Caenorhabditis elegans: one gene and its partners. The protein of the gene in region 4 interacts with the protein of the main gene of each other region in a pairwise test. Each region holds a gene or a part of one and is shown on either strand. Other genes may lie near its edges.

Region 1 (4,780 bases), on a different chromosome or scaffold from region 4:
AGTTTTTGTTTTGTTCACTACTTACAGGTAAAAGAAGATGACTAGATGAAGCTGATGAATAGTTGAGAGGTATCCTGAAAAACACAAAAAATAGGTACCGTAGGTGTAAAAGTAATGAGTTGGTAGCAAAAGCCGGCAGAGCCCAATTGGACATCAGGCGCCGCCCCTAAGTGGAGCTGAGTTGGCAGCACCACCATGATTCAAAAACAGGAGGAACAATAGGAGCGAGATATTGGAGGATGAAATTTACATATGTGTCAGTGATTAACAACACAAAAGTAGTTGATTAGCAAGTTAATATGGTATGAATAGAGCGTGTGATAGGCACATTTGTTTGCCGGAGGAATAATTAGTTTCATAACTTTTGAAAAATTTTGCAGTTAACTCGGTAGATGGGTGAGATGGAAAGTACATAGTATTAAATTGGAATATAGATAATTTTAAGATAGTTTAGGTCAATAGAAATATTTTATTTCCCAGAAATATGAAGCAGTGAAACCAATGAGATACTTCATAAATTTTATTATTTATGTTTTTTTAAAGGAATAGTACGAAAATTTGAAATCTTCAAAATAAACCGAAATGTAACTTTTCAAAGTGAAGTAATGTAAGGAAATACAGTAACTTTTTGGAAATTTCTCTCAATCATGGTTAGAAAATTTAAAATTCTCACATTATTTTGGCGTGAAAATTTTAAGTTTAGACTTCATAAAGACTACAGTACTCATTGCAACTGAGTGTGAAATTATCAAGCAAAATGAGAGTTTATATGGGTGCGAGATTCGCGGAGTTATGAGCCGTAAAACAACTGTGAAATGAGTGAAAGTTGATGGACGACTCGAGAGATCATTAAAAGTTTGATGACCTCTCAAAAAATGGGAAGTTAATGTCGAAAAAGTGGGGGAAGAAGGGAGGAGACTCGATGATTTTTGAAGAATAATTTCATTGAAATTTGTGAAATCTTCGATGAAGCTGGATAAAATTTAAAGGGCTTCAATCTTCTTTTTAACCAAAAAAAATATAGAAGACCCGACACCAACTTGATACGTTGATAGGTTTTCAATTTCGTATGAGATTTTCAAAATTTTTGAATCCAAGGCTTAACTGAATAGGATAAGGCCATCGTTGTTAAATATTAGTCGCGATGAAAACTGACTAAGTAGGAGCTTAGCCGATTAGAAATTGTGTCGACACGTGGATATGTCCATGAGGTCAAAGTTGAAAATTCGAAATGAGGAAGTAGCTAGTACGAAATAGCAGAGTAAATTTTGACTTTGTTACTAGAAACTTAATGTTTAAAAAATTAGAGCCTTCAGTTTTAGAAATCTAAAAAATATGTTTTTTTGTGGTTGACTTCCATCCATCATACTCGTTGCATTTTTGAAGTGCTTTTTGAAGTTTGAGTTAAAAATAATTTTAGATTATAAAAATGTTCAATCAAATCTACAATTCCTCACAAAAACAGTCATAAAACCTGCTCAACTTTTTCTAGATTATTTTTTTACTGGACTTAAATCAGACGATAAAGCTAAGAAGATCATATGCTTATCAAAGATCCAGTAACACTATCGAAAAAACTCTTCGTTAACATTTGAAAAATACATTCAAAATTGCCGTTAAAAATTAAAAAAAAAATTTCGAATACGAAACCTCCACCAGAAAACAATGGGAATAACAAATCAGAGATGAGATACGGTGCGATTTTGCTGGAATAAAAACTCAACAAACAAAACAAGTTCAACTTATGGTAATCTGGTCGGGTGGATCTAGGATAAAGCTTAAAATGAAAATCTTTGGCACGATGCGGTTTTTGGAAAAAAATAATTAAATTGAAATTCATGAACTTTCAGGGGGACAAGGTAAAACTGAAAATTACGTTTTCTAGCTTCTAAAAAATGTTATAATTTGAGTGGCTTATATCTCGATTTTCTTAGGTTTTTATCAAAAAATGTTCCACTATCAAAATATAGAAAAAATATTTTGCACGTATTTTGTCAATTGACAGTTGTTTGATGAAACCATTTGGAGCCAAAACTGTCAAAGTTGAGCAAGGTCTAAGACAAGTCTTTTTTAGAGAAATATGGTATTCAAAAAGTTGAGTAATCATTTTAATTTTCAATTTTTACGCAAAGTTACTTGCACCTACCGTAAACTTAGATACAGAAACCTATTATCCAGAAAATACTTATTTTTTTGGAACAAATGAAACTACATATAGAAAATGTAAAAGTATTCCATGGAAAAAAGACAAAAGTTTTGAAAATTCAGGTGAGAAAAATGATCGAGAACGGTGAACGAAGCTGTCGATAAAGCCGAAAAGCTGAGAAAGTTTAGAGAAAATGGAGGGAAAGCGGCGAATCGTTGGGAAACTAAGGGTCCACTCTTTCCTGGTTGCCACGCCTCTTTCGTCACTTTCACCTTTGCGCCCCTGGTGCCTGCACCAAAACAACTGCCATCGAAGTAGATGGAGGTGGAGAGAGCGACGGATATATGTACAAAAGAAACATCAACGAACACTAGGGAGGGCTAAAAACAAGATTTTTTCATTCGATGGCGGATACTTGTACCAGAAAAACGAAGGAAAGAGAAGCATCAGCGAAAGTTTCTGTTACTTTATAGTAATTGGGTTGATGATGGCAAAAGAAGCTTCTGAAGCTTCAGAAGGTGAAAAGCAAAACAAGAAAACAACATAACAAGAAACTAGAAATTTCAAATCTACCACAGGCGTTGGCCTAAGTCCAAATGTGGCTCTAAGGGGGTGTCCATCTCTATGCTCTCGATATGTCAAATAAAGAGAATAAGAAGGTTGAGCACAGGAGCTCCTACTCCCGTTTTCGCACATTTCTCAATACGATCACACTCCTCACCTTTTCTTTGTGTCTATGTCATTGTGTGTACAGGCGCAGGCGGCCGGAGACGAATCCCCACCAGCGTCTTCCGCTGATTGCGAACGGTTTCAGAGAGTGAAGTGGTCAGTTGGCTGGAGCACGTTGGAGAAGAGGTTGTAGGATGCTCTGAAAATACAAATTAAGGAGAGATGAGATTTTTTGAAAACGGGGGAGAAGGGTTACGGTAGCTTCTAACATTGAAGATTTAGGTTTCTGAAAAACAAAAGTTTTAAATTTAGAGCCAAGTAAACTTTTCAAAAAATGTTTTAAAATGGTTTTTTTTGCAATCACTCATAATTTCAGATGTTGAACATGAAAATGTTCATTTCTGCATTGCTTCTATACAAGGCAGGCTCGGTTTCAAAACATGGCGCCTGCCTGAAAACTGGCTTCCTCACACCATCTTCGCGCATTTTTCTGAACTTTTTTTTAAATTAAGAAATGACGTTTTGGCGCCTACATGAACGCTCTAAACTTCTGCAACAAATTTTTGAAATTCAAATTTTTTTAAAAATATTTTCATTTGAACATTTCTTTTTTACCATTTTACCTAATCGTCAACTGAAAATTTCAAAAAATCTAAACAATTTACGAAGATTTTGTTTTTCTACCGTAACCTATTTTTTATACCGTAGCCTATTTACTCTAAACTTTTCTAGCTGAAATAAAACTGAAAAAATCTTAAAAAATTGTTCAAATACAGAGAACAGCGAAAAAAACCACCCTGTGGAGAGCATTTCAAGCAAAAATAAAATAAAAATCTGTCACAAAGCTACTATAACAAGTGACAAATTGTGAAAAATCTGGATATTATAATGGATAAAATAAGCTATCAAAAGTTGTAAACCACCATTGGATGATCCCTGGATGTTCTCAAAATCTCCATTTTTCAATCACATTTTTCATAATCTTATAGCATATAGAGCTTTGATGTTAAAAATAGTAGGAAGTTACGGTATGAGCTCTCTGGATGTTTGGAAATGCTCAAAAAAGAAATCGAGATCATTTTGGATCAAGATCATTGTTTTCTTTTCTCAACCTCCAGGCGCATTGACTCTTCTCCCATACAAGGTCGAGAGGTGGCTCCCGTTGTGTTCCGAGTTAAGCTTGCACACACCTCTCACTCTTGCTTGCAATCTATATATGTGTTTGCGTATCGTTTTCTTCTCGGGGACGCCAAGTCCTTTTTTGCGAAACAAACAGGAGACTATAACGACGTGTGAGCCTGCTGCTGTTGCGATGAGAAGAGCAAAATGGGATCGCGGGGGAATAATGCGACAATCAACGCGAAAAGTTGCGCGCGCTCATCTTCAAGCCTCGCTAAGCCCATGGACTCGATGACAGACACCAAAAAAAGCTCGATGAATGGGGGAAAAAGAAAAGGTGAATGAAAAAAAAAACAACAAACGGGAAAACAAAAATGAATAGGTGTGAACTTTGAGCAGGTAAAGATTCTAGAGAAACTAAGAAAACAGTGGGAAAATTTTCGGAAAATAAATTTGAAAACTGTAGTCTGTAGAAGTCCGATTCTTTCGAAGAAATGTAAATAATTTCAAAAGGTGAAAGTTCTTATTTTTAAAGTTTTAAATCAAGAAAACTCATAGCGCAAGCTTTAGCTTTTTTCTGGTATGTTGAAAGACACTGAAAATGTTTCAAGTCTGGCAGGGATAATACGGTATTCCAAGGTAGTGCTACCCACAAAAATCTCAAGAAAATAAACCATTCATTGTAATCTCGAAAAAGTCAGCCTAAAACCTAAATTCTAGTTCTGAAAATCTCCAAAATCCTAGACACATATCCACATCTGGTTTGAACTTCACGCAATCATTGTTCACTTTCACGAGACGCAGACCACTTCTCTCCCCCTTCTTCTATCCCACCCATTGAGCTTA
Region 2 (5,562 bases), on a different chromosome or scaffold from region 4:
AACGATTCGCGCGCCGAGTCTCCGTTGATCTTTAAATTCTGTTGATTTCTCCCGACGCTCCACACGTCTGAAATTGATATAATCTGAAAGTCTCGTTGACATCATAATTCTTTCGATTCTAGCGATCGACCCTCCACATTATCAATCAGTAAACTGCCTTCCAAAAGCCCCAGGCTCTAGAAAATCAAATCAATTCAAAAAACGCAAACGGTGTGTCTGTCATCATCATCATCAACTCTTCTTTTTCAAGAATAAAGTTGTAATTAAGACTCTCTTATGTAAATACAATCTCTTTCTTTCTTTCTTCTTTTCTATTTACTCTGCACAAATGATGATAAGACACCAGGATCTGGCAGGATACTTCACTCAAGTAGTACGGTTTCGCGCTGTGGTTTTTTCCAGGAACTCCCTTTGCTTGGTAAGAATCACAAAACGTTTTCTTCTTGTGGAATGTTGAAGAACGAATAATAGTAAACATGGAGTTTAATTGAAGAAGGTTTAAATCTAGAAGACAGAACGTTCAAAATTTTATTGTCTGAAAAGTAAAGAATAAAGCACAAGGGAGCAGTACATAACATCGTATTAAGAATTATCTACTTTCTCGAGAAATGCGGTTGAATAGGAATGAAAATTTCACTTTCTTCTACGACGAATATTTGTACATTGTCCATGTAATCGTAATTGATGTCTTCTTCCGAATATCTTCTCGTAGTTGTTTCATTTGTAGATCTATTGTTCCTGCAATGCTGGTCATGTTGTAGCATATGTGATATAAATTCATTACATATAAACTTACCATCATATTATGATCATGGAGAGCACGATAGTTTGGAAGGGTTTCAGAACAGTTGTTGCATTGAAACATTTCTTTTCCGTGAGATTCGTGTCGATGTGAGCACAACGCTTGCAGGTTATGAAAGGAGGCGTGGCAATCTCGGCACTGAAATTATAAATTCTCAAACGTTATTTTTTAATTAGGAAAATTAACAAACCGTCCATTTCTCTGGAGTATTCGAATCTAGACGAACACGGGATGTGATTTTTCTCTGCAACGCGGCTCCATTTGTATCGCTCCTGTGATGTTGTCGTAAAGAAGAACTTCCCGGTTGTTGAATATTATCAAATACGTTGCCGTATTGACACGTCTTGCGATGTTCAGACAGAACATTCAAATTTGCAAAAGTTGCTCTGCAGTCAGGGCACTTGAGAACTGATATATTTTGAATATTGAAAAGTCTCTTATCTCGGATCTTGTATGGCTTGAAGCATTCGTGACGGTCAAGAGTGGTTCGATCGATACAGTTTCGGCCACATTGTTGGCAACGGAAGATTGAGTATTCCATACTCATATGACGACGAATCGAACTTAGTGTATTGAACTTTTTCGTGCACACACCACATGTTAGCATTGCAGTCAATCCATGAATTTGCTTCCGATGATGAAGAAGACTTGCAACACCGACACAGAACTTTCCACAGATGGAACACTGAAAACTTATAATGTAAGAACAACATATTTAGAGCTTCAATTTTGTAAAACATAATGATACCTTTGTCAATTTTCAATTTTTCAATTTTTCAATAGAAATCAATTTTTGCCGCAATATTGCAGATACAGCTACAGTAATCCTATTACGTATTCCCTTTTAATACAATCTTATCATATGAATCATTCACTTCAAAATGTTAAATTTACATTCTTTGGTGATAATTTAGATTTTAAGACATGATTACTGAAAGAAGTATGTTAACCAAACAAAAAGATTTAAAAGAAATGAAGTAATCTACCGGAATATTGACCAAATTCCCAGTCGAAGAAGATGAGGATGAAATGGTAGCATCAGCATCTTCGTCATCGTCATTGTCGTCTTCTCTTTCAGGTTCTATACCAAATAAATTGACATCTGGAACCACGCTGATCTCTCCTTCACGTGGTCGTCTGTCCCGCAACGAGTTGACATCCAAATGTACATCAGAAAGAGCTGGAGTAATGTCTGGACAATGCTTCTTGTGATAATCAAACCAATATTCATTTTGATATTTTTTATGACAGTTTGGACAGCTTATGGTTTGATCTAAAAGCGCAGGAGGAAGTGCAGTAGATGAATTACACTTTTCCATGTGGCGTTCGAACCAAAAACTCGAATTGTATCTTCGGTAGCAAACATTGCACTTGAATTCCTGCAAAACAATGTTTATGTCCCATCTCTGACTGAAATTTATTTTTTTTTTGTAAAACAAGAAAAAATAATCTGTTAAATTAGTTTATATTTTCAATTAGTGAAGTTCTCGCAAAAACGTTTCACTAAACATTCTCCACCTGAATTTCGTCCGTTGTTTCCAAGCATTTGGTTCTATGTTTGAGCAACCAATGATAGTGTTGATATTTCTTTCCACATAATACACAAGCGAATTGGAAACGGTCTTCTTTTGATTTTTCATGATTCTCATTAGACAAAACAACGCCACCAAATTCTTCATCTTGAATCTCTTCTTTTATTACTTTTATTTCTTCCGCATTTACACGTCCCGTTCTTCTTCGTTTTTTATCGTCGATTGTTTCATTTTCCTTACATCGATGCTTTTCCAAGTGCCATTTGCTGGCAAACGATGTATTGCAACCGTCACAATGATATACTTTGTATTCTTGACTTAGATGCAAATAGATATGTGTTCGCTTCGAAAACTCTTTTCCACAGAGACCACACATCATCATATCTTTCAGTGAATGTTCTTGATGACGATGATCAAGAAGACAGCGAATGGTTGAAAATTTGGATCCACATATTGAGCACTGAAATTGAAGAATAAAATCATGTTCAGAATGTTATGCTTTAGATTTTGAGAAATTTGATGGTTGGTACACACTTTTAAGTTGTAATAAATAAATCTATAATAGTGATATGGTATAATAGTGATAATAGTGAAGGTTTTTGTTCATTTACAGAGAATGAGATATAGAACTAAAATGAACTAACCGAGCAATTAACAATTGGATCTCCTCCTCTTTTTGTCCAATATTTGGCAGAGGGTTTCGATGTCAAATTACTACGCGACTGCCGGTTTCCTCGTGGGGTCCGTCTTTCTTCGATACTTTCATCGGTTTCATCGCTACTGTCTGACTGATTTAATAGTGTATCAGCACCTTCACAACCATAGTTGTTCAACACGTTTATGTATTGGACGCTGTTGTCCTGAAAATGTTCATTAGAAAATGAATTACAGTTGGTTTTTACACTATGGAAGCGATTATTCCACGAAAATGAGCCATCAGCTTGGTTGTACTGAACTCCGGACGGATTTTCGAATATTGAAAGATATTGCTGGAATTCGAAAATTATACAGCATTTTTACCAAATTTATATTTCAACCTCATCTTGCATTTCATGCTTTGGATCTCTGATTTCAACTTTATTCAATTCCTCTGTGACTTGTGAAGATGTGGATGGCACGTTTTTAGTCTACAACTCTAACTTTATGTTGAGGTTTCAATGAAGATTAAATACCAAAGATGGTCGAAGTGAAGCTTCGTCGAAAATTGCTTTGATATGACGAAGCAATTTTTCATCAGGCATGTCATGATAAAAACTGCCAATTTCATTTTCGACATTTGGTAAAAGCTGAAACTTTTTGCAAAATAAGTTGATTAAACACTAGCGCTCACCACAGTCTGATCTGATTCTTCCATTTTTACAAGAGGATGGCTGGAAAATATTTTAATTGTAATTTTTTCTAAATTCTTTTTTAAATATCACATTTTATGCAAAACGCGAAGAAAACAGTTGATGAAACAAAACGAATGTGCAACTATTTAGATCTAACTGTGATCTATTGCAATACTTCCCTTTAAAGGCGCATCAAATTTCTACCGTGATGGGTCTCGCCGCGCCCAATCTCGAATATCACGTTCAAATTTGGAAAGCTTTCAAAAACTGAAAACTTCGTTTAATTCAATTTGTTTTACCAGAAATAAATTAGATGCACAATTATTAAAGCTCCGAACGAGTTTATTCACATGATATCAATACAAAAGACAATAAAAGAGAGCAATAAGAGCACGAAATACAAATTCATTGTGTTGGGCTACTTTTGGTTGGCGGCAAGATCACAGGCCTCATTGAACTTGGAAACCGCCTGTCGCCATCCCGATGCTTCAAACTTTTCATTCCAGATTTCCGAGAAAGACTTGATCAGGATATTCCAGTCCGGAAGTGAATCACACGAAGGGATGTTGAGGAATCTGTTAATGACATCGTAGCAAGCATCGCGAAGAATGTTGCGCCTCTTGATGTCGACATTTAACGAATAGTCTCCAACGCTAGCTCCAGTCAACTGTGCATACTTTCCTGCAACAACGACAGCCATTGTTGCGGCGAATCCGAAGTAATCGGCTTGGTAAGTCCAAGAACGACCGTCAACCATTTCCGGGCAATCAAACGCTTCTGTTCCTGCTCTTCCCTTGAAACGCTGGTTCTTCAGTGGCATCATGTCAATGGCACGTCCCCAGTCGATAATCTTGATGACAAAGCTGTCGTTACTCATCAGAGCATCTTTGCCCCATTTATCATCGATCCTGAAAAAAGATAACGTCTAAAATTAACAAATGTTTTCCCATACTTTCTGGTGATCATAAAATTATCCGGTTTGATATCTCCATGAATAATTTTAGAGGCATGGACTTCCTTCACAACTCGGGCCATTTGGGTAATCAAGAAGCAGGTTATGTGCCAATTCGGATCCTTCATGTTATTCGCATATTCAAGCAGCGTTCCATATTCGTGGTACTGATTAACAAGAAGCGAAGCAGTTGAATAAACATAAGCATCCATCACTTCCATAATGCAACATTTGGCCATCAGCTCCAAACCTCGATCTTTCAGGCGATTCCGCATTTGGTCGCAAATGTACACTTCCCACGAACATGATGGCACCTCGTACTTCACAGCTACTGTCCTTTGATCATCGGTTACAGCCCGGTATACTTTAGCGTATCCACCTTGACCAATAAGAGTTTGAATGTGGAGCTTTTCTCCGCTAACCTCGCAGTCTCTCAGAGCTTGAATCTTCGGTGCTCGTTCTTGGAACTCGTGCATATTCTGGGGAGGACGCACAAGACACATCAATTTTTTTCGAAGAGTTTCGTCCCATGGATTGATGTCTCCTTGCTTGATAATTTCACTGCGCCGACGAATCTTGCAACCAGTGATTTCAGATTCGTTGTTTTCAGTGAGATTTGGAATTTCATCAGCACCAATTGAAAGACGTCTTCCTAGATTAGCTGTCAAACAATCGATAGATGAATCTTTAGGATCTGATCGTTCAGGCTTTGATGACTCTGTGACTGAGGGCTGAACGGCTTGATTTGCTGCTAGTGACTTTCGACGTGTCTGAAAAAGTTTGAATAGTATGTCGAAAATTTGTCTGGCACTTACTAATTTACTGAAAGTACTGCTGGTTGGAGCAACAAATACTGGAGCTTCCTGTTCGTGAGTGCTTTCCTCCTCTTTATTTCCGAAATATTCATCAATGTTGACCAAATGAACTCCTTGTGCGGGGGTCGAT
Region 3 (7,889 bases), on a different chromosome or scaffold from region 4:
CTCTCTGATGCACACTTGGCCTTCCAAATATCATAGGACATGACTGTCATGTGCCCAAGTGAGCCACTTCGTCCTTCAAGACCATTAGCTGTGGGCATTGTGGAGTTGGAACGAGTGATAGGAGTCGTCTGAAATGGAATATAGTTGAGCATGAGATTGGAAATGAGCTCAAGAGTATGAGAAGATAAAGTAATAACAGGGCTCGCGCACCTGCTCCGCCTATTCTGACAAAATGTGAGCGCCGCTGCGTGAGGAGGGAGCCAGAGCAGCGTGCGAAGAGAGAGAGAGAGAGAGAGAGCGCATGCTTTGGAGCAGGAGCAGATTAAAAACCATAAGATCAGAATTTTCCCTCTCTCACTGGTTCTGTCGTCGACGTCTTCTTCTCATGCAGCTGTTAGGTCAAGGTGCGCGTGAGAGCTATGAGCAGACTAGAATATTTTCCTAAGAAACCGCGATTTCAGAGAAAGAAAGCCAGCTAGCTATTGACAGATGCCTTACACATATGAAGTGCAAAACAAGAGTCTAGTTTAGGTGGAGAATACTTACCGATGAGGTTCTCGTCTCCGAGTCCATGTCTGGTGTTGAAGTTTTTGAGCAGAATGAGGAACGGCGGGAGAAGCCTGAAAAGTTTCGAAATATTGAATTGGAACATATTGTGTGTGTGTATGTGTTGGAAAAGAAGAAAATGGAAAGTGTTTCGCGTTTCACTGCAGAATGAGAAACAATAGAAAATCGAATGCATCTTTCTTTCTCTCGGGGGGCCCCGAGTGTGGGTATATAGGACAGGTACTAGGTGCCGGATAAAGATCAGTAGAGGGACACAAGGGTTCCGTACTTGGGAAAGGAGTCTCGCACTGGATAATGCCGCCGGCTTACGACGGAGTGAAATGGGAGACGAAACATGTTGAGAGAGAGAGAGGAAGAAGAAAGAGACGCGAATAGAAATTCGGTGATCTTTAAATCCTTCACTATTTGGTGCGACTGGTGTGTTGCTCACCTTTTTTACATTATTTTTTCATAGTCTGTGTACACTTACTCCCACTGATTCAGTCCTATTAGAAAAGAGAGAGAGAGAGAGAGAGAGAGAGAGAGAGAGAGAGAGAGAGAGAGAGAAATGAAAAAAAATGTATATGAAAGAGCAGCACACCAAAACACAGGGATCATACGTAATGTGAGCTAATGTGATTCACCATTTGCCTACGTCAACGCCATTTTGATGATTTCTAATCTCTATTCATTTATATGTAGACATCGAAAATTGAGAACAAGAAAAGTGACGGAAATCTGTTTACAGTCGAGCCGGCGGCTCCAGACACATACTTGGAATTTCTATTTCTGTTTGGCCAGCATACGCGCATACGTGCTCAATCTAACCATCGGTCAGCGGATATTCAAATGATAATTGCTATTATTTTGAACTGACACGAGATATGTGCCAACCGTCGTGAGTCATTGAGACACCAAAGCATAACTTTGTAGACAGATAAATTGAGTGGGAAAATTGTGAAAAATGAAAAGGAGAGAGAGAGAGAAAATAATTACGTATAATCAAATGCAAAAAGATCGTAGACGGGCTGCATAAGGGATCAAACCAGGGAGCTAAAACTCAAAACGGAAGACGTTCCAAGGAGTTTAGCTCAATTTTTTGAAGACAGAACCGAAATTATAATACATAAAAATGAAAATGAAGACTAGACGAAATGCCTGAAATATTCGCGAATAACAGAAGAGACAGTCGTCCTCGGGAGGCTGGGCACACAAACACATACACAGAAAAGTGATTGTGTACTGAAAATGTGAGCGCCTTTTCGTCATCCTCTCTGTGTGTGTGTGTGTGCCTTAAAATGTGAAAAAACGTGGAAAAACGAGAGGACGATGAGAACCGAGTAGACTAGTAGTTGCGAAAATCAGACAGGGCAAACGAGAAATAGTACAGATGTGATGAGAGTGTGCAGACGCAATGAGAAAGAGTGCAAGGTCCTGAAGCGACCGAAGAGAAGGGATGAAAGGGGGGGGGGGAGGAGGAGAAAGAGTTGCTGGAATGTACTAAAAACAAGTAGATGGCGAATGAGCAAAACAAAAAGGTCAGTGGAGGGTTCGAGTCGATCAGGACACACATTTTTGTATATATCAAGACGACGAAAACAAGATTCGTAGATTCGAGGGATGGAACTAGGAAATAGAATTTTCAGCGATCTAAGAACACTTGTTCTGAATATAGAATTTTGTTATTGCGGCGTTCCAAAAGTGCGACGAATTACACTGGAACGATCAGAAAGCGCAAGAATCAGGTGATTTTTGTAATGGTATAAAGGAAAAAAACTGATAACACTATCAAAAGATTAGTCTAGTACCGGTACCTACAGTCTACTTTTTTGCAAAAGTTGGGCAAATAGTTGCTTTGTTTTTGAAAAGTGAATGTCATGGGATCGAATTTTGTAGTAAACTCTTGAAATCAAAAGATCATGTCCTTTCCAAAATATCTAACAAATATGAAACATCATCGCAAACTCCAAAATAGTTTTGAAATAACACTTGATCTTTCAGTGGTTCTGCTGTCTACGTTGTTAGTCATACAGAGATTTTCGATCGCGTACGAGAAACGAACAAAACAACCGAGTACATTTTTGTGGAAATCTAGACGGAAGTTATGCATATTTGTGGGGGAACTAGGGAGTAAGCGCCAAAACACAACTGAGAAATCAGAGATCTATGGGTACTATATGGATTCTAATTTGATAGTGAAGGAGTAGGAGACAGAGATCAGGGAAAAGCTCACCTTCTTCATCGTCAACACTGGATCCGGATTCTGGAGCATGTCTCTTTGCATTCAGAGCTGCTGCCAACTCGATCTTTTCCTTATTTCTCTTGTTGAACGACTTCAGGCGCTTGTAGTTTAGCTTCTCGCACTAAAATTTGAAAATTTGAAAACAAAATAGCTCCCAGACTCTTCTAGAACTTACCGATTTGCAATTGCACAGAATATATGGGCACTGTGGTGAGTGATTCTTGAGGATCACCTTCTCGCCGTGTCCTTCGCACTTTCGGCAGTAAAGGATGCGTCCCTTTGGCTTTGGGGAGTCCATGTCTTGGGATGATGGAGAGTAGTTCTCGTTGCTGCGGTGATGATGATGATGATGCTCGTCGTCGATGGTTACAGTAGCGATGATGTGTGGGCTCATTTTACTGAAAGAATTGGGAATTTGAGATATGTACGGAAGGAGAGCAAAAGATTTTTCAAAGTAAGACTTCTTACGAACAGCGTGAAACAGGAATTCTTTTAATTTTTTAAGTTTAAAATATGTGTAAAAAACAGACCTCTAGAAACAGAAAATTGAAATATTAAAAAATTTCAATAAATTTTAAAAATTAGTGTTTCAAAACTTGAATATTCGTTGGCTAGTTATGATTTACATAATGAAGCTCCCGAAATTTCGAAAAAAATCTAATTGTCTTACTGAATTTAATGATTCACAGTAATTCTGCTAGATGCACACAGCAAATTGATGCAACATGATCACTGTATAAACTTGTGAAAATAATGAAACAGTAATTTTTCTTCAAGACATATATATTCCAAGAGTACTACAGTAATCCACAAGAGCTTAACCTTAGCTAACCTAAAATCATGAAGACTGATCAGGAATAGTGACAAAAATGGAGGAGGAGCTCCAAGGGTCAAAGCGGAAGTTACAAAGGGACCTACAAGAGAGTAAGAGAAAAAAATATGTAATTTCTTTTTTTTTTCCCATTCGAAAAAAAACACACTCGATGGGTGTGTGTTCCAGCTTCCTCGTTCCTATTTTTCCAGTCCCTAGTGGTTCAATAATCACATATGCGGGGAACACACACACACAGGGGGGTGTTCGAAGATCACTCGGGGTCTACTAGTCTGGGCTCGAAAAGCTCAAAAATTGGGTGAAAAACATGCTAACGCGAAGCAGCAGAGACACTGGAGAACACAACACAAATTGTGATCTAGAACACACACAGAGAGAAATAGATGACCAGGCGAACGGAGCACAAAACAGAAGAAGCAGAACACGGAAATGAGAGGATGGTTGTGCAAAATAAGTAGAAAATATCTAGAGGAAGTAAATTAAGACATTTTCAGACAAGGAAATAAGCGTTTAGATGGAGATAACTAGGTTACTGTAGATGATTTTTGAAAATTGGAATTCTTAATGAAAATTTACTGTTTCACAGAAAATGTTTAAGAGTTTTAAAACTGGAACTGTAATATTTATGTGATTCTATTAGTAATAAAAAAACTCACATCAGTAAAGGATTTGCAAAAATTTTAAAAATCGAAAAAAAGTTACTGTTTCACGGAAAATGTTTGATTATTTCAAAGTAGAGGCATACTACTTGTAGAACGACAGGAAAATTACGGTTTCAAATTTTGAAATTTAATAACACTTTCACTGTAAATTTTGTGAAATTTGGCATATGAATTTGATTACTGACTAAAAATAACAATTTACTCCTAATAAGAAATACAAATCAAAAATTATGTTGCGGTTATGTATACGTAAAAATTTAAAAACAGTGAAATTTTTCACTGTTTCAAAATATGCATTAAAAATGTTGTGGACTCTTTTTTTTTTGCTATTACCAACGAAGTAGGTTCATCATTTTTCAACAAAAAATATTTATGTAGATTTTTAAAATCTTATTAAAATTTTGAATTCGAATTTTTGAAATTTCAAATTTTGAAGAAAAAAATTACTGTTTCAAAATAAAAATATGAAAAGTTCACAAAGTTCAAAGTGCTTTCGACAGAATTTAAAAAATATAGAAATTAATACAAAACACATCAATTCCATAGGTACAAAGTTCCGTAAGTTCGGTTCTTTGTTGCTCCTCCTCTACTACACACGGCACACAGAAAATGAACATAAAATTGGGCGGTACAAAGTTTAGGCGGGGTGTGCAAATATTTGACCTACTCTCCACCTCCTCCCACTAACCGGGTTGAATGACTGAAGAGGTCGAAAAGTGTGTTTTTGATCACAAACTTTATCATCATCATTCTGTGACTTTTCCAGAGAAGAAAAATCTAGAAAAAGTCAAGAAAAATGATTCAAAAAAATAGGAAAAATAAGTGATCAAAAAACTGGAGTTGGGGGACCCGCAAAAACAGAGAACACAACCGCCAGACAAAACATTTCTTCTTTTTCTTCGTCTCTTTAAAGATCGCCGAGTAAATTGACAACAAAAAGCTCAAAGTTTCAGTGTTTTTCTCTTTGAAGCAGGAACAAAAATTTTCAGCTTCTTTTCAGCTGAAGCTCAAACTTTTTTAAAAGAAAAAGACATTGTGAAACAGAAAAGTTCCCATTTCTTGTAAGAAATGACTAACAAGTGACACGGCAAAAAGTGAAAGAACTGGCAAACACGTAGCCTTTGTAGTCTACAAAATGTGTCTACAAAATGTACAATAAGGTGAAACTTTTAAAGAAAGAATAGAGCAAACACTTAAAAAAAATGGAACTTTTTTCAAAATTTTGAAACAGTTGAAAATTTTTTAATCAGAATAGTTTAGTTTATTGGGACCAATACAGGGCGATATCATAGCAAAAACAAACATTTATTTGTGAATTTCAGAACTTTTTGAAACAGTAAAATATTTTTGAAACCAAAACTTTGTGGTTGTCAGCCAAGCTACAAGAAGCGACGAAAATTATTGCAATTTTCAAACTTAAGTTTTGTTTATAAAAAAAAACAATGCTCTCTGTGTAAATTTCAAAATGTTTTGAAACAGTTAATTTTTTCCAAAGTCCAAAATTTTGAATTTTTTCCGTTTCCTCCGCCACGTCATTTGCACTAATTTTGTGCTTCCGACTAACATTATACAAACATCTTCACCGGTTTTCCTAGACACCTCAAGTGGCTAAATATGTTTGCAACAAAAAAAACACGAACTTACCAATGACCAGCTCCACAAAATAATATTTTTTTTTGATTGTTGAGCCACACGAGCTCCAACCAAAAATGGCTTCTTTTTGATGATTTGGCAATGAAAGTGAGATGAAGTCTGAAAAAAGAGGAATTTCTTTAAAAATTTGCGGAGAAATTGTATAGTAAATTGGAAAGAGAGAAGCCAAAATTGTGATTTTTGAAAAAATTATGGAAAAGTTTTGCATACGAAATCTGTTTAATACGATTATTTTTCACGTGCGCAGAGGGAACCGAAAGATTAAAAGTATATATGGAGAGAAAACTGTCGGAAAATGTTGGACGAAGTTTAATCAGTGAGGTTTTGTTGAAAAGTTTAGAAGAAACATTTTTGAAACAGTGAAAAAAATTTCCAAAAAAAAAAGAGTACAATTAGAACCTGTAAATTGAAAATTTTAATCAGTGATTCTTAATGCAGAAATTCGATCACGTTTTCATCGAAAAAGCCAGTTTCCACGCAGCTTCAGATCCCAATCAAAAACGATCCAGAATGAAGTGAAGATGAGGAAATGCAATGGAAGGGAATAACGAGTGTATTAAACTAGACACAGTTCGTATTAAGGGCGTATGTAGGAGTTTCAAGGTAGAAAGAGGCCGAAGCACGGGAGATGAATATCTTGAGGGATTTTTTGGGAAGTTTCTTGACTGTAACAGGAAAAAAAAGAACCGAAGTTATTGAGAAATGAAAGTTGAAATTAGGAACATGCAATTTTGAAACAGTATTTTTTTTCCGAAAAGTTAAAATTGGTCAATTTTGGCGGGAACGGCAGTTCAACAGATTTAAATATATATTTTAGCGAAATTTATATTAACATTCCAAACAGGTAACAAATTGTGAAAAAAGTTTAGGTTTCTGGCTGTAACAGGAACAAGATGCGACCATTAATGAGAAATCAAGCTTGAACTTAGAAAAATGCGGAAAACAAATTTTTTTGGAAATTTTAGTTATTGCAACTGCACATAAAATTGTTATATTTTCCAGCGACATGGTTTATATTAAGATTCAGAACAGTTAAATAAATTGGAAATAAATTGGATTGAAAAATTGTCGAAAAAATCACCGTTTCCTTATAATAAATTTTAAAACAGTAATTTTTTTTTTTGGAAAACTTAAAATAAGATCGGATTTCGTTAATTTTTCAGTTAATTTCTCACCAACTACACTTACTACAAATACTGAATTCTTGAATGTACGTGTGAATAAAGGTTAGATCCGCCGAGTTAGATAAGAAAAACACGGTAAATGCAGAAATCCCACATTTGAACGGATTCTGCTGCTGGAGGTGGAGATATCGAGTCACAGAATGTTCATTGGGATCTTTCAGAACTACTACTAACACTTGAAACGGCGAGGAATTTTCATGGAATTTTTGAAACAGTGAAAAAAATTTCCAAATTTTAAAAATTTTTAAATTTTGACATTCAAACTTCGAAAGTTAAACTATTAATTTTTATTTCTTGATTTCAAGTTTTAAGATTTACTTCTTAAACTTCTATCCAGAAAATTGTTACTGCTACAAACTACGGCCTACGGATACTACGGATACTACGGAAATTACGGATATTCAATTGGAACTGATGTTACTCAAAAGATCCGTGATCGAGATACAGCCGGGCAGGCGGGGGGTCGCTATGATTTTTGTTGTTACTCTTATGCAAGTAAATTGCACTTTTCTGGCCCCACTAAGTAGCTCACGCTTTTGTAGAGATCAAACGCCCTCCCTGTAAAGGCGTCACATCTCGAAAAATACATGGAGGAAAAGCTGCTTGTGTTGAGATTATGATCAGAGAAAACGATGTTGAACAAGAGATCGCAGAATTTTTTGATTGGAACGAAATAGAATGAAAAACAACTGCGAGAAATATTTTTATAGAATTTGAAAAAAAAAATTGAAAAAAAATTACTGTTTCAAAATTATCACAAAAAAAATTTT
Region 4 (7,261 bases):
CTAAGATTGTCCACAACGATTCACCGCCACCAAATTCTATTAAGAATTTATCTTGTTCCCTAATGGAAACAAAAAAATTCCTTTTAAAATGGGCGGTTCATGTCATTTTTATTTATTATGTTTTGTGATAACAATACCAGAACTACTGAATGCAGTGTGCTGAGAACGAGTACGCTACTGAATGCAGTGTGCTGAGAACGAGTTGGCCGCGCCGTAGGCGCGGTCAGCGGCTGGTAACCACATAAAATACGAAAATCATTTTTTTTTGGTGTTTACTCAAAATTTCTCTAACAAGACAAAACCAAATAGAAGTGATTTTGTGACACGCGGAACGGGAAAGGATCCGGATATTTAATACAGGAAGAAGGCAGATAAGTTTTGTAAGATTGTATTTATCATCAGTCGCGTTAAACATTCCATTTCGTAGACTTCCCACTCCTTTGTGATATTTCTCAACATTTTTATTGGAAACCGTTGTCTTTTTGTAAATGTACGTACCAACATTAGTCTATCAGTGAGATCTCTTTATTATTTGTTCAATTGATTTCACACGCAATCATAAATTATTGGATTTTCTGTTAACTTTGGAGATTAGAAATGTCTGGTTGTAATGTTAATGACTAGATTGAAGGAGGGTTGGTACTAGCTTCAGATGGTTGTGTCTGCTGGTAGTTAATATTAGCAAGTGAGGTAGCAGCTGTAGCGGCCGATGGTGTCGTCGTCATTCGAAGTGCCAAACTTTTCTGGTAGAACTCGTCGTCAGCTTGGAAAGAGGTGATGGAATGACCGAAACTGAAATTAACGAAATATTTATCCCACAGTAAAAAGACGAACAAACTTTGCAATGGGATTAGTGAACGAGTTGGAATATGAAGGAGAAGCTGTTGGGTATGGCATTGGTCGTTGATATGATTGATACCAAAAACCGTCACGATTCAATGCAGCTGGGTACATTCCTTGTCGCATCAAAGTATTCGCTGGATTGGATAGGAATGAGTGCGGGGGATTGATTGCCTGTAAATAACTTTTTTGATGAATTCAGAATATATTCGTCATCTTCCTACCTTATTCAATTGTTTTTCATGCTTCCGATGTTTTGCTCGCCGATTTTGGAACCACACCTGCAAACAAAATTGGATTACTCGAGAAATTAGTGGGGAGTATGAGTATGATCAAGTCAGATCTAGAGGGATGGAGTAGAGACAGCCAGGTGGCAAAACTGTTACGCAATAAGTAAAGGAAGTGTGAATACGCTACAGTAATCCTGAAATCCTTACATCTAGAAACAAGATATCTAGTAATACATTAGTGTGTCATTGTTTTTTTAATTTTACGAATTGGAGTCAGAAATGTATTTAAATTTATAATTCTACGTTAAACATTGTATTTAAAATTATCAGGGAAAAATGAATAAATGTGATTTTGGCGCAATTTAGTAATTAATTAAAAACGCAATTTAGTATTAAAATAATGTATACTGTTGGGTATATACGACAACCAAATTCTACAAGATTGTATGTAAACAAATAATTGGAGTATTTATTTCAGATTCTACAAAGTTCAAAAGTATCTTAATACCCACACAATCCAACCAAAGAAAGTTTTTAAAAGTCACGTCATAAAGTATTACTGTCTCCGGATCTTTAATCCTTCCTTTCCTTTTCTGTTCCTCGCTACACTCTCTTTTCTTTTTATCAAGTCCCTTCATTTCCTTTTTCTGTATTTCTAAATGTTGATAGACTGCTCAAGAATAAGGGAAAAGCTGTGGTGAGGAAGGATATTGAGAAAGCGGCAAAGGCAGAGCATAATTCAATTTGCTTGCCTCCTAACAAAGACGCCGATGTTGGAAGAGAAGAAGACGATGGGTTACGGTAGACTGGTGATAGAGAGTTTCTTTTGAACAAGAGTTTTAGAGATTCAAAGGCACTAGTTTTGAGTTGTTATTATTATTATTATGAATATTTAAAAAAAAAGGATACCGTATGACGGATATGGAAGTAGGTAGACAATGAAAAAAATCAGAAAGGGTGAGAAGTTTTAAGCATGTATCATTGAATCTAGGCAAAGTTTTATTTGTTTTATTAGAAAGTTCAGAGAACTCTATAAATAGAAAAAAGTTCAGAGAACTTTATAAATAGCAAAAGATAACTTACATCAGTAGATCGCAAAGAAAACAGTCAGAACTGAAAGCTTAATCACCAAAAAATAGAAGCTTATTTGAAGTCAAAGATGTGCTGAAAACATTATTGGTAATTCCACAAAACCGTCAATTTAGGAACGATAACCCATCTTTTCAGCACTAAGAAATAAAGCTCGAAACGCAGAAAAAAATCAGATTAATTCGAAAATTATATTCAATTTAGTTGAACAATCCAAAAAACTATTACCGGCTGAACATTGTCGTTTACCAAATATGTGTGCATTCTTTTCTCTACAAACGGATACTTCAAAGAAATTCCTTCATCAAACTTTTCAAGATGGTTTTTAATCAATTATATATTATTTCTGTACATCTATGTTAATTTTTAATTTTAAAAGTTGTATAAGTTCCCTATTATGGCAGATTGACTTTTTTGTCTCAATTTGTTCTTCTCAGCTTCACAAGCTCAATATCTAATCCCTACCAGATGTGTGATGGTGCGTGGTGGATTTAGCGCACAGTAGGTGACCAGGAGGTGGTAGACAACTATCCAAAGGCAGCAATTAACGCGAGATGAATACCAATAAGAAGTGAGGAAGAAGATAAAGAATATGAAGAAGAGAAAGAAACAACAAATTAGAGCACATGTCTCACAAATTGAGCATACAGTTTAATTTCGAAGCTCACCTGTATTCGAGCTTCATTCAACTTGGTGATCCTTGCCAATTCCTCTCGAACGTAGATATCCGGATAGTGACTCTTTTGGAATGCAGCATCAAGCTCCTGAAGTTGTTCCTGAGTGAATGTCGTCCGATGTCTCCGCCTGGAATTGAGACGCTCTGATTCGGGCCGTTCTAGGCTACACAGCCTGCAATTAAGAAAGGCCGTGGAGCACTAGGTGGGTGGGGGAAGGCAAGAAAATACGTGAGAAGTACGGTAGAGTTTGTTGAAAATTAACTTGACTATTGATAGAAATTGAAGATATGAAAATATAGGCGGCACAAGTCAAATTTTGGCTCTTTCAAGTTGTATAATTATATTTGGCTTTCTAAATTTTTAAATTTGGCCAAATAGTGGCCAAAAAAATAATAAACGCAAACATATTTTGTCAAGGGTTTGGTAAATAGCCAAATTTACTTTTAAAAAACTGGGTTTTTGGAGTAGTTTCAATAAATGAAATCTAGATAACTGCCTTATTTTGACATTGAATACCTACATACATCAAATCCCTTCTACATCTACCGTACCCCTATCTTCCAAAATATTAAGAATACTCACCTTGCAGGCGTGTTCGTGACCCCAGCAATCGAAGATCCAAATACCGAGCCACCGAGTCCTTCGGTTTTAATCTTTTTGAAGGCGCCATCTGCAACATCACCAGTTTTAAGGCTTAAAAATGGAAAGTGGGCAGATGTTCGGAGGAATGCAGAATTTCGAAATTCTTAGTGTGAATTGCAAGGAATAATCAAAGAAATATGACACCCTTCTCTACATTGTCTTACCATAATAATACATTGTTAGATTGAGTTGTTAATTCCTAAATCTGCTCACACAAGTACTAAAATAGTAAATAAGAAGAGAGACACTTCGCGCACAAAGTCAAGACTAGTGGATACAATAGAACGGATGGATAAGAGTGAGCATCTGGCAACAGGCGTCATAATTGGCTCGGTGGCACATGCTCCAGAGATGTGAAGTACCATTGAGGAGGGGAAGAGCAAGGCGGGGGGACATGGTAAGGGTATCAGTTGTACTAACACAGCATGATACCTTTGGCGGAAGCTATTGCGCAACACTAATAAAGAAAACACTTGAAGTGGTTTTTGCTGAATCTTGGGATAGGTGAGAATATCAAACGAAATAATAAGAGAAGCTCAGGGTCAGAAGGACCTTTTGCTCAACCTAGAAGGCACTGATGCAAGGAATGAACTGGCATGCGGACGACGAAGGAGAGACATCAAATATGATTCCGCAAATCTGATATATTCTGATGTAATTTTGTTCGCCTTGCTAAAGCGAAGCTCCTCCCTACCAGTGTAGAAAAAAAGAAGATGGAATGTAGAGACTAACCTGATGATGGATCCGAAATTGGACGAAGACTTGCCGAGACTGTATCCAAAGAGCTCGGATAGTAGGCAGTGAAATCGTGAAGAGATACTCCAAGATCTTTCACTTTTTCTTGGAACTGAAAATATAGATCATGATGTAGGTTCCAGTAGAACGTTTTTATACTAATGTAAGGTGAATTGAGGAATCTGTTGGAATCGATTAATGGAAGGACGGTAATAAGGAAATCCACAGTAACACTAGAACTTTAAAGTAAAACATAACGCCAAGAAGACTAATAAAAATTCAGTGACTTAACAGTTTTTCAGCAGAGATTCTACCGGCTTAAGATCTATTTTTCAAAATGTTCGGTTCCACTTACAAACTAATATAAACTAATACAGTTGGTTTTTTAACTTTTTTGTGACTAAAAAATCAGACATCAGTGTCGAGGTATTGTATGATCATTATCTAGAACCCCGTCCAACATTAGCTTCTTTAGGATTGAACACACCAAGATCAGATCTTTAGCGGTGTTTGTGGTGGGACTTTTAGTTTTTTCAAACCCATGTCTAAAGTTATTTCTTGTGAATTAAATTATTGATGTCCATGGTACGGTAGTCTGTGATTTTGATTTTAACATCAATTAAAATGGCGAGCTGAACAATAATTCTAGGGAAATTGGAGGCGAGAAAAGTTGGAAGGCTATCGATACCAGCTCCGGAAGACAACTGAGGAGGTTTGTGTGTGTGTGTGCCACTGATCGTGAGAGCATCTAACAATCAAATTTCCATAATGAATTTATGAGGGGAAGACACACACACACTTGGACTCCTCCCAGTCGTCTTCCGAAAAACGACAACGTCTTCAGGAGACGAAGAATATTGTGCGCGCCAGAAAAGTTAATTATGGAGCTCTCGGCGACGACCGACGGCGCCACCAAATCGTATTACTGTTTATTTCGTTTGCGTCGAGGGCCTCGGAGACTAGAATTAGTTAGCAAATTACCTGTGAGACAGTTGATGCTCCGTTCGCACCGTTCAGCAGATTGTCGCTCATTGTGTGAGTGAAAGCGGAGAAATGTGGAAAGTGAGGGGTGACCGAAGTCGTTGTCGACGTCGTCGTGGAGGCGGACAGGGTTGCTTCTGAAGAGAGGGGCAGCTGACTGGTCGCCGTCCGCCTCCGGCTGCTCCTCCTCCTTCACCACCGGCCCCAACCACCGTACCCATCTTTCCGCCAGAAGAGCTAGGTAGCCACGCCTTCTTTTTGATTTGGATTGGTTTGAGAGAGTCAAGTAAATTAGATTATTTGACAGCTTCTTCTTTCCGTCTTCTTATTCTTCAACTGAGCTTCTACACTTAACGGCAACGAATTCAGTGATCGGTGGAGAGCGAAAGCTATAATCGAGTTTGGACGGACTCTGAAGCCGGGTGGCGATAATCGCAATTAGAGAAGCAGTTCAACTGGCGAACCCCACACGAACACACGGACTAAATCCAAATTGGGTTGGAAAAATTGTGGGTTCGATTTGAAAGGGGATTTAATTTGTGGTTAAACTAAAATACTCAGTTACGCTAAAAATAATTAATTGAATTATTTAAACGTAGAAATGCTGCGATATGTTTAAAAAAAGGGAAATGTAATCAGAATGTTTGTAGTCATTTAATAATAACAATAATAATAATTTATTACGTTCTTGAAGAAGCGTGAAAAGAAAAAAGATGATACATACAAAGATTCATGTCGGAGGGTGGACTGGGAGATTATGGGCAAAGTGAAAGAACCTGAGGCGTAGAAAAAGAGCATGAGAAGGAGTAGGATAAAAAAACAGGAGATATCATAGGATAGTAATGAATGAATGTTATTGATCAAGAGTAGATGTCGTTCGTTTCCTAACTTAGTTATCCTTGTTTAAATTAGATAAAAATTTGAGGAATGACGGTTGGCTTAATGTTCTGTTAACGAAGAAATGTTTCCTAATTTTAAATTTACATCTGCTCCAAGAGAACTTTCTTTTACAACGCGTTCTAGTGTTGTCCGAGAAGGTAAAAAATTCAGGTACTTTCAGATCTATTTTACCGTTTAACATTTTCAAAATCATTTTTTTATCGGTTGTCAGACGTCGTCCTTGCAGCGGTGTGAGCCCAAATAATTCATTTCTTTCTGTCGAGGTTTTATATTCCGGATCACTTATTGAGACGTATTTGCCTACAGTCCTACTATATAGACGCCTTGTGAACGAATTTTGAACTGCCTCGATGGCTCCTATATCTGACTGCTTTGGTGGGCTACTTATAACGGTTCCGTACTCTAGCAAAAGCACAATAAATGTTTTATATAATAGGATCATCAGCTTTGGTTTGTTACTGTTATAATGGTTAAAAATTTGTGACATTTGAAATTTCGAGGAATTAATAGCCTTTTTCCAGTGTTCACTAAAATCCAGATTATGAGAGATCATAAAACCTAAGTCACGTGTCGTTGACTCTTTTTTGATATCCTGGCCGTTTATCTTATAAGTGAAATTTTGGCGTTTTTTCCCTATCGTGAGATGGACGGTTTTTTTGTTCATTAAGAGCCAATTTGTTACTGACGGACCAATTTGCTACTCTGTCTATTGCTTCTTGCAGACTATTAATCTGGTCGCCTTTTGGCGTGTGTACATACAGCTTGGTGTCATCTGCAAACTGCTGCACTTTAACATTTGCGGGCAGTATTGTTGGGATCTCATTAACGTAAATTCCAAAAAGAACTGGTGAGAGTACAGCGCCTTGCGGAACCCCACATTTAGCGTTTTTTACAGTAGATAGTGTATTTCCTATTTTAACTCTAAATGTCCTTTCTATTAGAAAACTATTGATCCAGACTATGATATGTTTATTCAGTCCCAGGCGTATCAGTTTATTGAGGAGAATGTCGTGGGGAATTCTGTCAAATGCCTTGCTGTAATCTAAATATGACGTCAATTTGGGCTCCCAGATCTAGGTTGCTTGTCCAGTCATTCAAACTATTCATCAGATTAGAGATCGTTGATTTTGTAGGTCTGAACCCATGCTGGTTCTCATTCCAAAAATT

Evidence for each region.
Region 1: the proteins of unc-42 (region 4) and fozi-1 interact in a two-hybrid assay, tested with the Caenorhabditis elegans proteins (one large-scale study listed by BioGRID).
Region 2: the proteins of unc-42 (region 4) and ztf-15 interact in a two-hybrid assay, tested with the Caenorhabditis elegans proteins (one large-scale study listed by BioGRID).
Region 3: the proteins of unc-42 (region 4) and dmd-6 interact in a two-hybrid assay, tested with the Caenorhabditis elegans proteins (one large-scale study listed by BioGRID).

The regions. Positions count from the first base shown.
Region 1 is NC_003281.10:9,280,021-9,284,800, reverse strand, and holds the start of fozi-1 (Formin-homology and zinc finger domains protein 1), read right to left. Parts: upstream 3,021-4,780; 5' UTR 2,868-3,020; intron 1-2,867. UniProt on the Caenorhabditis elegans protein: Acts redundantly with hlh-1 to promote body wall muscle cell and coelomocyte specification in postembryonic mesoderm progenitors, probably through suppression of sem-2.
Region 2 is NC_003279.8:7,253,653-7,259,214, reverse strand, and holds ztf-15 (C2H2-type domain-containing protein), read right to left. Parts: upstream 3,705-5,562; 5' UTR 3,689-3,704; coding exon 3,665-3,688; intron 3,621-3,664; coding exon 3,507-3,620; intron 3,462-3,506; coding exon 3,372-3,461; intron 3,324-3,371; coding exon 3,237-3,323; intron 3,195-3,236; coding exon 2,979-3,194; intron 2,795-2,978; coding exon 2,321-2,794; intron 2,182-2,320; coding exon 1,789-2,181; intron 1,488-1,788; coding exon 993-1,487; intron 941-992; coding exon 797-940; intron 747-796; coding exon 594-746; 3' UTR 516-593; downstream 1-515. Other genes in the region: Mitotic checkpoint serine/threonine-protein kinase bub-1, read right to left, coding at 4,084-4,573, 4,618-5,387, 5,433-5,562.
Region 3 is NC_003282.8:14,614,748-14,622,636, reverse strand, and holds the start of dmd-6 (DM domain-containing protein), read right to left. Parts: upstream 6,035-7,889; 5' UTR 5,927-6,034; intron 5,574-5,926; exon of another isoform or gene 5,553-5,573; intron 5,468-5,552; exon of another isoform or gene 5,447-5,467; intron 5,282-5,446; exon of another isoform or gene 5,261-5,281; intron 4,631-5,260; exon of another isoform or gene 4,610-4,630; intron 4,504-4,609; exon of another isoform or gene 4,483-4,503; intron 4,390-4,482; exon of another isoform or gene 4,366-4,389; intron 4,262-4,365; exon of another isoform or gene 4,241-4,261; intron 3,504-4,240; exon of another isoform or gene 3,483-3,503; intron 3,440-3,482; exon of another isoform or gene 3,419-3,439; intron 3,226-3,418; exon of another isoform or gene 3,205-3,225; intron 3,187-3,204; 5' UTR 3,183-3,186; coding exon 2,964-3,182; intron 2,910-2,963; coding exon 2,780-2,909; intron 2,456-2,779; exon of another isoform or gene 2,435-2,455; intron 1,114-2,434; exon of another isoform or gene 1,057-1,113; intron 621-1,056; coding exon 547-620; intron 129-546; coding exon 1-128.
Region 4 is NC_003283.11:9,764,025-9,771,285, forward strand, and holds unc-42 (Homeobox protein unc-42), read right to left. Parts: upstream 5,333-7,261; 5' UTR 5,246-5,332; coding exon 5,195-5,245; intron 5,142-5,194; exon of another isoform or gene 5,004-5,141; intron 4,326-5,003; coding exon 4,211-4,325; intron 3,729-4,210; exon of another isoform or gene 3,656-3,728; coding exon of another isoform or gene 3,643-3,655; intron 3,507-3,642; coding exon 3,419-3,506; intron 3,009-3,418; coding exon 2,828-3,008; intron 1,122-2,827; coding exon 1,065-1,121; intron 1,015-1,064; coding exon 839-1,014; intron 793-838; coding exon 621-792; 3' UTR 510-620; downstream 1-509. UniProt on the Caenorhabditis elegans protein: Probable transcription factor. Required for initial outgrowth and pathfinding of axon growth cones along the ventral nerve cord (VNC).